3 linked regions of the Danio rerio genome follow. The main gene of each other region encodes a partner of the protein of the gene in region 3 in a complex. Links are inferred from orthologs where the notes say so. Each region holds a gene or a part of one and is shown on either strand. Other genes may lie near its edges.

Region 1 (3,840 bases), on a different chromosome or scaffold from region 3:
ATCATGTTGTGACCAGATGTACCTTGTTGACATAGCATATTCAAAGCATGAACATTAGGGGTGCAAGATATTGAAAAATAAATCAAACATTGACATATTTTGTTTTTCTGTGATAAATAATGCAAAATGAATATAGGTCCATCAGATGCCTTAACTCTATTTGGGAAGTGTTTATTAATTCAGACTGATTGCAATAAAGGATTGAATCATGCATAAAAAAATAACAAAAAATTACAAGTATTGTTACTTTATGAATTTGTCAAACAGCAAACAGGTACAGGAATTGCAAAAAAATCAAATGTAAATAAAACACTGCATCTTCTTTATTGTAAAAATTATTTTAAAAATGTATCTTTATTAAAGGTACAAATGGTCTAATTTCTTGTGCCTGTGTAACAGGGTTAAAATAATGTTTAATTGTCTTTCACCAAAATGGGTTATTTTGTTTATTTTGTGGCTGTTGAGAGACCTCTTGTGGCAACAGTGTGTAATTGTTTCTTTCACCTTTCACCTGCAAAACCCCGCCTACAGCAGAAAATGGTTGCAGAATGCAGAAAGGCGGTAGGTAAAATGTGCTCCAGCTAAATGTGACAAATTTTGTATTTTAACACATATTAATAACACATACAAGCCCAATATGAACATTAAGTGATGTTTTAGATCAAATCTGTCGAGTGATTGCCGTGTGTGACAAACTTTGTGTGGTTTAATTTGCTCATGCTAGGTGTAGCTGGAATGATGACATTAATATGTGCAAGGGTGATTTCTTACTATTTGTTTGGTTTTTTTAGATGCATGTTTAAATGCATACTGTTGCCAGATGATGTATATTTCTGTTACAGGTATGTTAACCTTTTGTAAATAAATAATGTTTTGTTAAAATGACTTTGTGGCAACACAGCAGAAAATGGTTGCTGAATGCAGAAAGGCGATGCATGTTTAAATGCATACTGTTGCCAGAGGATGTATATTTCTGTTACAGAATAAACAACGCAGAACGCAGTTCTCTGTGTCCGCCTGAGTGATTTGCGTCTTCAGGAAGAGAAGCGTTACACCTGGATGCTTTATACGTTCTTGAAATGTTCATACAGCGGCAGTCCATAAAACACAGGCAGACTTCCACTTTATATACATATATAAACTGTCTTCTGGTCAACTATAAACCCAACAAGACATTGCATATCCTCTGAGTTTTCTGAATATGCACTGTGATAATGCCCATGTTTTCTAGAGGTTTACCATAATAAAATAATACATTTAAACCATAGCGATATCATCTTTTATAATCTACACACCATATCAATACCATATTTTCTGAACATCATGATAGCACTGCGCACATTCTATAAGCAATTGTGACACTACTGTATATTTTTGAGGCATATGCCATGACAGAACCAAGCTTTCAGTACATGCACAGTAATTTAGTACTACTTTATGACATATGCATATAGTGACACCATGGTATACTACATGGTGATACAACATTTCATACCTTTCTCTTTTTCAGTTTGTAGTCATTGAGCTCTTCTTTATCGGTGATCTTCTGTTTGGGTGGCGGTGGCAGCAGCTCGAGCTCTCTCTCTTTGGCCTCTCTGAGCAGCTGCTCGGCGGTGATCTGCACCTCTGCAGGGGCTTTATTCTTCACCTGAACACAAACACAAAACCATTACAAAACAAGACAATCTTTAACCCATCTGGTTATAGTTCTATACATTATACAGTTGTTATTTTCAGAGTGGCACAAGTTCACGTTGTTTACAAGCTAATGCTAACTCACAGCTTTATTCTTCACATGAGCATTAATACAAAACCATTACAAAGCAAGACAACCTTTAACTCAACTGATTACATGTATACACATTATACATCAGTTAACTAATTATAAAGTAACGTTAGCAGAACTACATGTTGTTTACATGCTAATGCTAACTTACAGGGGTTTATTCTTCACCTGAACACAAACACAAATACATTATAAAAAAATAAGCTTAACTCCACTAACCACATTTATATACAGTAGTTAATTATTAAGTAACGTCAGCACGACTTCACGTTGTTTACATGCTAATGCTAACTCACAAAAACATCATATAGGTTTTACCTTCGCCACTTTCGGGATTCTCTGTTTGCCCGCCGCGGTGGACGCCATGATTATTACGCTCCTGACACTTTATTAAAAATAAATTAGACGTATGTTCTTGTGTTTTAGATTTCGAAAGCCCGCTAAAACCTGTAAGGTTAGCGACGTTTCAGTGCCGTGTGTGTCGCGCCTGCCGTGACGCGCTGTGACCTTTGCCTGCATCTACGTCACGGAGCATCTCACCATGGTGACAGGACGCTTGCTAGCGGTTAACGTTATCAATAAATAAAAGGTCAGCAGTTTGAGGCTGTTAAAACTCAGTTTTTTATTGTTATACACCAAAAATACCTGTTTAATTGTTTTATGTTGCTTGTGTATCGACTTTTTGTCAATGTAAGTGAATGCTTGTTGTTTTAAAATATTTTTGCCTATTATTGGCTAGTGACTGAGTTCAAAACTCAACATTTTACATTAATAACGTTAACTTACCTCAATTAAATACCTTAAACGTTTGTTATTTATTTGTTTACTGTTAGATCTGTTTATTGTTAAACCGAATTTTCTTCAATGTGTGTGAATGTTTATTTGTTTTTATAAAGGTTAGTGACGAGGCTCAAAGTAAAGTTACATGTAACGTTATGTTATTTAACTTTATTCGCTCACTGTTAGATTTTTTTATAGTCCGACCTATCTTTAATGTAAGTGAATGTCCATTTTTATTAATTTGTTAATTATGTATTGCTTGTTATTGTGTATGAAATAACCGTAAAGAGTTGTTATTTATTTGTTTACCAAAATAAGTCTGTGCGTGCACACAGACGAAAAACATATAACGTACAATTGAAGTCAGAATTATTAGCCCCCTTTGATTTTTTTTCTTTTTTAAATATTTCCCAAATGATGTTTAACAGAGCAAGGAAATTTTCACATTATGTCTGATAATATTTTGTCTTCTGGAAAAAGTCTTATTTGTTTTATTTTGGCTAGAATAAAAGCAGTTTTTATAAAATAAATAAAAAAATAAAATAAAATTTAAGGTCAATATTATTAGCCCCATGAAGCTATATTTTTGTCTACAGATCATTACACAATAACTTGCCTAATTACCCTGACCTGCCTAGTTAACCTAATTAACCTAATTAAGTCTTTAAATGTCACTTTAAGCTGTATAGTAGTATCTTGAAAATTATCTAATAAAATATTATTTACCTGTCATCATGATTAATTAAATAAATCAGTTATTAGAAATGAGTTAGCAAAAACTATTATGTTTAGAAATGTGTTGAAAAGAAATCTGCTCTCCGTTAAACAGAAATTAGGGAAAAAATAAACAAGGGGGCTAATAATTCAACTGACTTCAACTGTATATTACGTCTACAGTTGTGCTCGAATGTTTACATACCACTTATATAATCTGTTAAATGTGAATAATTTTAACAAAAGTAGCAACATAATACAAAATACATGGTAATTTGTAATAAGTATTGTACCATACACTCCTCAAAAATCTTTATTTTATATTCATGTTTTTAATAGGAAGCTGCAGTATTATATTTGTGCAAATACATTAGTCAGTACTGAAGCCAAATCTGGAGCTTATCAAACAAAACAACTTACAATAACGGCCCAAAAACTAGAAAAGCCAAAAAATTTTATAGGAAAATATTAAATACAATTTTTTTTTTCAAAAGAGGAAAAATCAAGAGAAGCAAAAACAAAAAAGGAAAATTTTGTTGAAATTTTATAGGTTGTAATTT
Region 2 (3,740 bases), on a different chromosome or scaffold from region 3:
CTTGTAATCTGCTGTAAGGTGTCCTTGAGTGCTTTGAAAGGCGCCTAAAAATAAAAGGTATTATTATTATTATTATTATTACAGGTCATTTAACTCCCACACTGAAAAAATGATTTTAATTTAACAAACAAAAATAAATCACCAATGTTCGACTTAATTTAATTGGGCTACATTTAAACAAACAAAATGTATACAACTACTTGCCTTAAAAAAACTTTAGTAAATTTAAGGAATCATCTATGAATAATTTTTTTCAGGGCATTTGTGATGAATTTAATGTATTATTTCTGATCAATAAAACTACTTACCACAAAGGTTTGACATATAGTGTACATTACCATCACATATCAATACATACATAATTACAAGCTGAATAACTAGCCAGACAACTCTTAACATCACTTTTGCCAAGTTTCTTTTCTTTTTAAGCTGACGTTTCCTTGTGGTTCTTTTATCTATGTGCAATTAGACACATGAATGACCTTTTTCAGATTTCTCTCAAACTATACTAGATTCCCATGACTAAGTGGTGTTTAAAATGAGTGCCAGTCTGTTTATGTATTGTCTTATCATCGCCCAAGCACGTCCCGAATGAATCAGTCAATTTATTCTAAGTAATTAAACACAATTAAACTTTTCCTGGGTGTGATTAAAGTATAATTGAAAATGTAGGTGTGTCTGAGAGCCAGTTTCACAGATATAGTCACTAACTCTCTCTCTTTCTGTTTTTAGAAGCTGGAGGCTAAATCCCTTATCAAGCTTAACTTCAGCAAAAACAATGAAGGTAAATATGTTTGTGTGTGCGCTCTTGATCCTCTTACCTGGCCTGCGTCAACAGCAATGTGTGTTAATGATGAGAGATAATGGTTAAAGTCCTCTTTTTTCCCCTGTACTTTAGGAAAGTACCACTGTCCTGTGCTCTACACCGTCTTCACAAACAACTCCCACATCGTTGCTAACAAAGTCACAGGGAATGTTTTCTCTAATGAGGTAAAACAGCTACATTTTATTTGTTGTATCATATTTTTATGCAGCAGAATGCATATAATTTTTACACATGGAGTTTTTTTTTTGTTGTTTTTTTTTGTTCAGCAGTCAAGAATTATTATTATTAGTATTAATATTAATAATTAATATTATATATATATATTTTTTTTACTTTTTACCCATTACTCTGCATTTACCCATTACCCATTGCTCTGGACTAGTTTCGACAAAAATTAAAAATCACAAATGCAATAAAATAAAAATATATAATGCATATATTTTGAAAAAAAGGTTTTTATTGCATTTTTTATAGAAGTTCAACAGCATCCTCAAAATGAAAACAGTAAATTATTGCAATAGCAAAATTAATTATAGAAATATTTATCATTATTCAAATTGCTTTTTACATTTCAGCTATTATGTTTATTTTTTTATGATGTCTAAAACATCTAGTGTTTTTTCTACTTTCATATAACAAAAATATAAATTTGAAAAGGAAAATACAGTGATCAGTGATTGTTTACATTCAAAACAGGGCCATAAAATTAGTCAATTTGACTCTCGCACTATACATATGAATCCCTTATACCTATCTATCACACTATCTATCAAAAGTCTTGTCCATTCCAGTTGTAAGAGCAATAAATAATAACTTGACTTCTAGTTGATCATTTGGAAGAAAGTAGATTTTTCAGATGAATCATCTGTTGAACTGTATCCCAATCATCACAAATGCTACAGAGGACATTACCAGCATTAGGTATCAAGACATTTGTGCTGCCTGTTAAATTACAAACCACAGGAGAGGGTAAATCCTTCAGCAAGACAGCACTCCATCTCAGGTTCTTGAAAGCAAAGAAGGTCAAGGTGCTTGTTACGATCCTTGATGGCAATTTGTCTAGGGCAGGCGTGTCCAAACTACGGCCCGCGGGCCATCTGCGGCCCTCAATCAGTTTTGTGGCGGCCCGCGAGGCTTTTTATAAACATCAATAGAATCTGGCCCGCTATACAGAAATGAACGTAATTCAATAAATAACCACCGGGTGTCGCTATTACATGCATTCAATTAAGCAGCCCTTCTTGTTATGATCTATCTATCTATCTATCTATCTATCTATCTATCTATCTATCTATCTATCTATCTATCTATCTATCTATCTGTCTGTCTGTCTGTCTGTCTGTCTGTCTGTCTGTCTGTCTGTCTGTCTGTCTGTCTGTCTGTCTGTCTGTCTGTCTGTCTGTCTGTCTGTCTGTCTGTCTGTCTGTCTGTCTACACACAGTTGAAGTCTGAATTATTAGCCCCTCTTTATTTCTTCTTTTTAAATATTTCCCAAATGATGTTTAACAGAGCAAGGACATTTTTACAGTATGTCTGATAATATTTTTTCTTTTGGAGAAAGACTTTTGTTTTATTTCGGCTAAAATAAAAAGCGGTTTAAATTTTTTTATGAACCATTTTAAGGTCAAAATTATTAGCCCCTTAAGTCTTCAGAACAAACCATTGTTATAAAAATAACTTGCCTAATTACCTTAACTTGACTAGTTAACTTGATTAACCTAGTGAAGCCTTTAAATGTCACTTTAAGCTGTATAGAAGTGTCTTAAAAATATCTAGTTAAATATTATTTAAATATTATTATTTATATAAAATAAATCAGTTATTAGAAATGAGTTACTAAAACTAATATGTTTAGAAATGTGTGGAAAAAAATCTTCTCTCCGTTAAACAGAAATTGGGGAAAAAAATAAACGGGGGCTAATAATTTAGGGGGGCTAACAATTCTGACTTCAACTGTATTTTATATATATATATATATATATATATATATATATATATATATATATATATATATATATATATATATATATATATATATATATACACACACACACATATACACGTGTCTGTGTGATGTATGTAAAATTTGGCCCACGACAACGTTTGTTTTTTTGCATCTGGCCCTCGGCCCAAAAAGTTTGGACACCCCTGGTCTAGGGTATTAAAAGGAGTAACATAAAGATGACCAAAGTATAAACTGATGTTGAAGAATGGCAAGAGAAAACACCAAACAACAAATTAGCACCGCAAAAGATTTATCGCTCCCACATTATTTACAAACAATAAGATAAAGTTGAAAAGAACCAAGACAAATAGGAGAGGGAACTGAAGTTTGCGCATGGAAATCAAAGAAATAAATATAACAAAAACATTCCCTTAATCTCCTCCCCAATCCACTAAATAGAAAACAACAATATGAAAAGAAAAGTCTTCAGCGCAAAGCGCCCTGAACTTACTCTAACTAATAAATAAAAATACAAAATTAGCGCACTTCGCTAACTAGTGTGTCTATACATTAATAATCATGCGTGCAAAAATGTATGTCACGTGACTTACTATGTTGTTCCAGATCTCCCTTGTCAAGTCACAGAAGGTTTTTGAATGTAGCAATAGCGGGCTAGAGATGTAGAAAACACTCGTCAAAACTCAAACAAATCTCACTCAAAGTCATCAGTTAATCTCACTCAAAGTCAACATCAATAAATCTCAATCAAAGTACACATCAGTAGCAGCGACAACGCACACGGACACCACCAAACAGACAACACGCCAAAACAACAACAGCTGATTTCTCCCCGTTGCCGCTTCCGTTTTTAAAAGGCTCTGCAACGAACGCGATTGGTAGAGAGAGAAGTCATCATCACACGGTTGATTAGGATTGGCAGTCCTGTCAGCCAATAGTGCTCCAAAGTAG
Region 3 (3,600 bases):
GAAGAGAAAGATGAATGTCTTTTTCATTTTTTTTTAAAGAAATATGTGTTTTCGAAACTATTGACTTCTGCTGTCTTCAATAAATTCTTTAGCCTGTCATGTTTACTGTTCCAAAATATGCTTCTTAAAATAAAATATATTGTGTTCAATGGGAACAATAATAGTTTTTTTTTTACCCAGACATTTTAAAAGAATATTTTTGAGCAGTAATCACAATACTGTGAAACTCTGATATTTTTATCCAAGGTTATCATACCGTCAGAATCTTATACCGGCCCATGCCTAGTAAACGCGCACCCTGACCTGTCATGTATACAAAAAATAAAGTATTCTTTCATGTATTTACAGTTTTTTACAAGTGTTTTGGGAGCTCTACATGATTACACATCAGAACACTAAAGTCCCATGCAATGTTTTTGGTTTCTGGACTTTTGAACATCTTTGAAATCTCACTGTCCATGGAGGATGAGAGAGATGTCAGATTTAATCTAAAACATTTTCATTTGTGTTCAGAAGATAAACAAAGGCCTCTTAAATACAGCCGCCAATCCAAGCACCAATCACAATCTGCCGTAATCCGCTGCACCTGGAAATAATTCAGACCGAGAGAGTGCAGGAAAGAGGGAGAGGAAACAAGAGAAAGAAAAACTCGTAACAACACTGACTCACCTGACCATGCCAGAGGAGGCATTGCCCATAGTGGAATCTTTGGGTTTAATGAATTTGTGATAGTTGTTGATCCCACGATAAATCTTATCATCTTCTTTACCAGTCAGCTCCTATAAATTACACACAAACACGCAGCCATATGATTAAGAGATTGTGTATATTCTGGCCATCTTAACAATATCAACAATCAAATATCATGACATGAAATGACCCCGCTCCTTAGATGCTGGTTTATTCTTCTGCATTGAGCGCAGACTTTGAGCAATCGCATACTCCTCGCCGTGGCTGACGCGCACCTCTCAAAAAATGTCACTACTTGACGATACGTAGCGCAAGCTCTGCGGTTGGTCAGCTTGATAGTGATGACAAGAGTGGGCAGCGCGGAGAGCAACGAAAAAAAGAAGACTGTTGGTTTTAGGCAATGTGTGTTTTCATTTCAGTTGTTCAACGCTGATGTTCAATAAATAATCATAGATAGTAGATAGTTTGCGTTTCCTTCAATTATTTTAAAATCAAGTAATGCACCCTTTTCAAACATCTCTCACTTTACGAAACCTGTCAGTTAACTATGAGGGCAAAAACAAATGAAATAATCAATCATTAGTTGTAATCGGGTTAAAATGTTTAGTTAATCAAGATTTAGATTTGAGGCCAAATCGCCCAGGCCTATTATAAAGGCTATTTATTTTCTAAAATGAATTGATTCTGCTGTGCTTGAAAGCACTGAGTGAGGTATCTAAATAACTGAACTGACATGACATGACACGCTACTATATCACCTTCTGTAGAGCTGTTGTCTACTTGAAATATGTGTAAATACAATTGAAAATGCTGAGTTTAATGTTATCTAAATCTAGAACTGTAAAGGTACTTTGAATCTGTACATAACATACATAAACCTGACTTTACAATGATGCAGCCAGTTATTTCCAATCACCCGCATACCTCTTGGATTTTCTGACTGCGCTCAAAGATGGCCTGAGCATCTTTGTCCCTCTCTGTGTCCAGCTCATAGACAGCAGTGGCCCCCATGTCATCCGGCCCCTCTGGTTTCTGCAACACATAGTCAAATACACTCAATTACAGCCTTTAATGTTTCAATGAGACAGCGCAAAAACTGTCAGACGTTAATAGAAATGTAAAGTCATACGTGGTCATGAATTATTAGGCACCATCAAGCGTTTATATTCATAATTTGCTGTAGCATAAATCATGAAGCTGTACAAATGTTGGGTCAGTCAGACTCACCGCTGAGCGAGTGGACTTGTAAGCGACAGTCACGCTCTTTTCTTCCTTCTCTTCTTCACTTTCACTCGATGAGACAGCTTCCCTCTCCACTTTCTTCGTCTATAAAACGAATAATAAATATAATAATGATGACATCAGTTTAACAGCGGCTAGTTACATAAAACACATGAAATACGGACATACTTTCTGAATCATGGGGTTCACAGCGGCAGATTTCTTCTTTCTGACCACTGCACTGCCCTCATCGCCGCTGCTTTTTTCTGATGATAAAGAAACAAAACACTGAACTGCAGACATGTATTGAGCATAAACATTAATTAAACAGACGGCTTGTTGTAGGGATTATAGTTTCTCAAGTCAAACTCGCTGTCGATTGAGACACTGAAGAAAGAAGCACAACGTACCTTTGTCGCTGTCACTTGCATTTCTTTTCCGTGCGGAAAATTTCTTGTTTGATTTCTTAAAAATAAATGTGCAGGTGGGTTTTTTCGGCTCCTCGGACTCCGCCATCTTTAACTACGTATAAAAACAAACGATGAAGTCATTTTTTGGTTACAGCGCCTCTTGTGTTTGGGAAGAAACGTAGAATGGGAATGGTTTACTGCTGTTGTATTTGATATGAATATATTCCCATTTAACAATTGATAATGTACATATCTTTACTATTATTATTAATCAGTAACTAGCAATATTCAGACAATATTTGGATGCATGCATTGAGCAAAATTAAGGATAAAGACGTTTTAAGGTATTTTATGGTGTACTTAAAGTAAAATTATGATTTAGAGTGAATTTTTTCCCATTATAAAGGTAAAGTCTAGTTAGGATACTGTGGATACGTACATCAACATAGCATAAGTTTTGTGACACTGTATAACAATAAATAATATTTTACAGTACAAATTCCACACTGGCCACGCCCCTATCGTGAATGTACCACTAGACGTAAATGTGTCGTGAAACACCGCAGCGGTTTACGGCCTCGCGCCATTTTAAGAAAGGAACGACTCGTTCAACTGGGTGAGAACACACGTTGGGTATTGTGTGGACCGAAATACACACAAAAATACCGAGTGAATTAAAGAAATTCATGCACGAAGGTCTTCCACAGAAACACGCAAGAGGATTTTGGCCCGAAAATCGGAGATTTCGTTGGAGCCGAATGAAAAACTGAGGTAATTGACTGCAGGAGGCCGTCCGTGGAAATGTAGGCGATCTCGGATATGATCATCATGAGAGAGTTGGTGAATTAGCAGAGCTGACCGTAACCACGACTGAGCTTTGCTTTATTTTTGTGTATTAAAGAGTGCACTGATATTAGTTATTAGATGCGTCTCTTTTTGTTGATGCTACACTAACGTGATCTGATGCTGAAGTTGTAGTTTGTTTAATCATTATGTGGAGAATAAAAGTGTTTGTTTGCACGAAGCTAACCGAGAAAGCTAAGACTGCTAGCAGCTAACTTCACGAGACTCGTTTAAGGGGTGTTTGTTTACTGATCCAGATCTATGTGAAGACGCTGAATTTTCAGTTTGAATCTGTTAGCATGATTTTGTCTGCTTATTTAAATCCACCTTATCTTAAATAACGTCTTATTTACCATTTTCACACAGTAACTGCTTAACTTGCATGAGGTGCTCCTAATTGTTGATTATTTTTTTTATCGTTTGTGTTTTTTCTCTC

The links.
Region 1: rnf113a (region 3) and crnkl1 share a complex: the UniProt entries of both Homo sapiens proteins name them as parts of the minor spliceosome. The link is inferred for Danio rerio from reciprocal best matches to the Homo sapiens genes RNF113A and CRNKL1.
Region 2: rnf113a (region 3) and ppil2 share a complex: the UniProt entries of both Homo sapiens proteins name them as parts of the minor spliceosome. The link is inferred for Danio rerio from reciprocal best matches to the Homo sapiens genes RNF113A and PPIL2.

What each region holds. Positions count from the first base shown.
Region 1 is NC_133195.1:52,274,738-52,278,577, reverse strand, and holds the start of crnkl1 (crooked neck-like protein 1), read right to left. Parts: upstream 2,204-3,840; 5' UTR 2,153-2,203; coding exon 2,105-2,152; exon of another isoform or gene 1,649-2,104; coding exon 1,496-1,648; exon of another isoform or gene 792-1,495; intron 562-791; exon of another isoform or gene 530-561; intron 1-529. UniProt on the Homo sapiens protein: Involved in pre-mRNA splicing process. As a component of the minor spliceosome, involved in the splicing of U12-type introns in pre-mRNAs.
Region 2 is NC_133180.1:13,602,999-13,606,738, forward strand, and holds part of ppil2 (RING-type E3 ubiquitin-protein ligase PPIL2), read left to right. Parts: intron 1-732; coding exon 733-784; intron 785-898; coding exon 899-990; intron 991-3,740. UniProt on the Homo sapiens protein: Has a ubiquitin-protein ligase activity acting as an E3 ubiquitin protein ligase or as an ubiquitin-ubiquitin ligase promoting elongation of ubiquitin chains on substrates.
Region 3 is NC_133178.1:30,713,018-30,716,617, forward strand, and holds the start of rnf113a (E3 ubiquitin-protein ligase RNF113A), read right to left. Parts: upstream 2,430-3,600; 5' UTR 2,428-2,429; coding exon 2,322-2,427; intron 2,178-2,321; coding exon 2,101-2,177; intron 2,017-2,100; coding exon 1,918-2,016; intron 1,723-1,917; coding exon 1,615-1,722; intron 780-1,614; coding exon 670-779; intron 1-669. UniProt on the Homo sapiens protein: Required for pre-mRNA splicing as component of the spliceosome. As a component of the minor spliceosome, involved in the splicing of U12-type introns in pre-mRNAs. E3 ubiquitin-protein ligase that catalyzes the transfer of ubiquitin onto target proteins.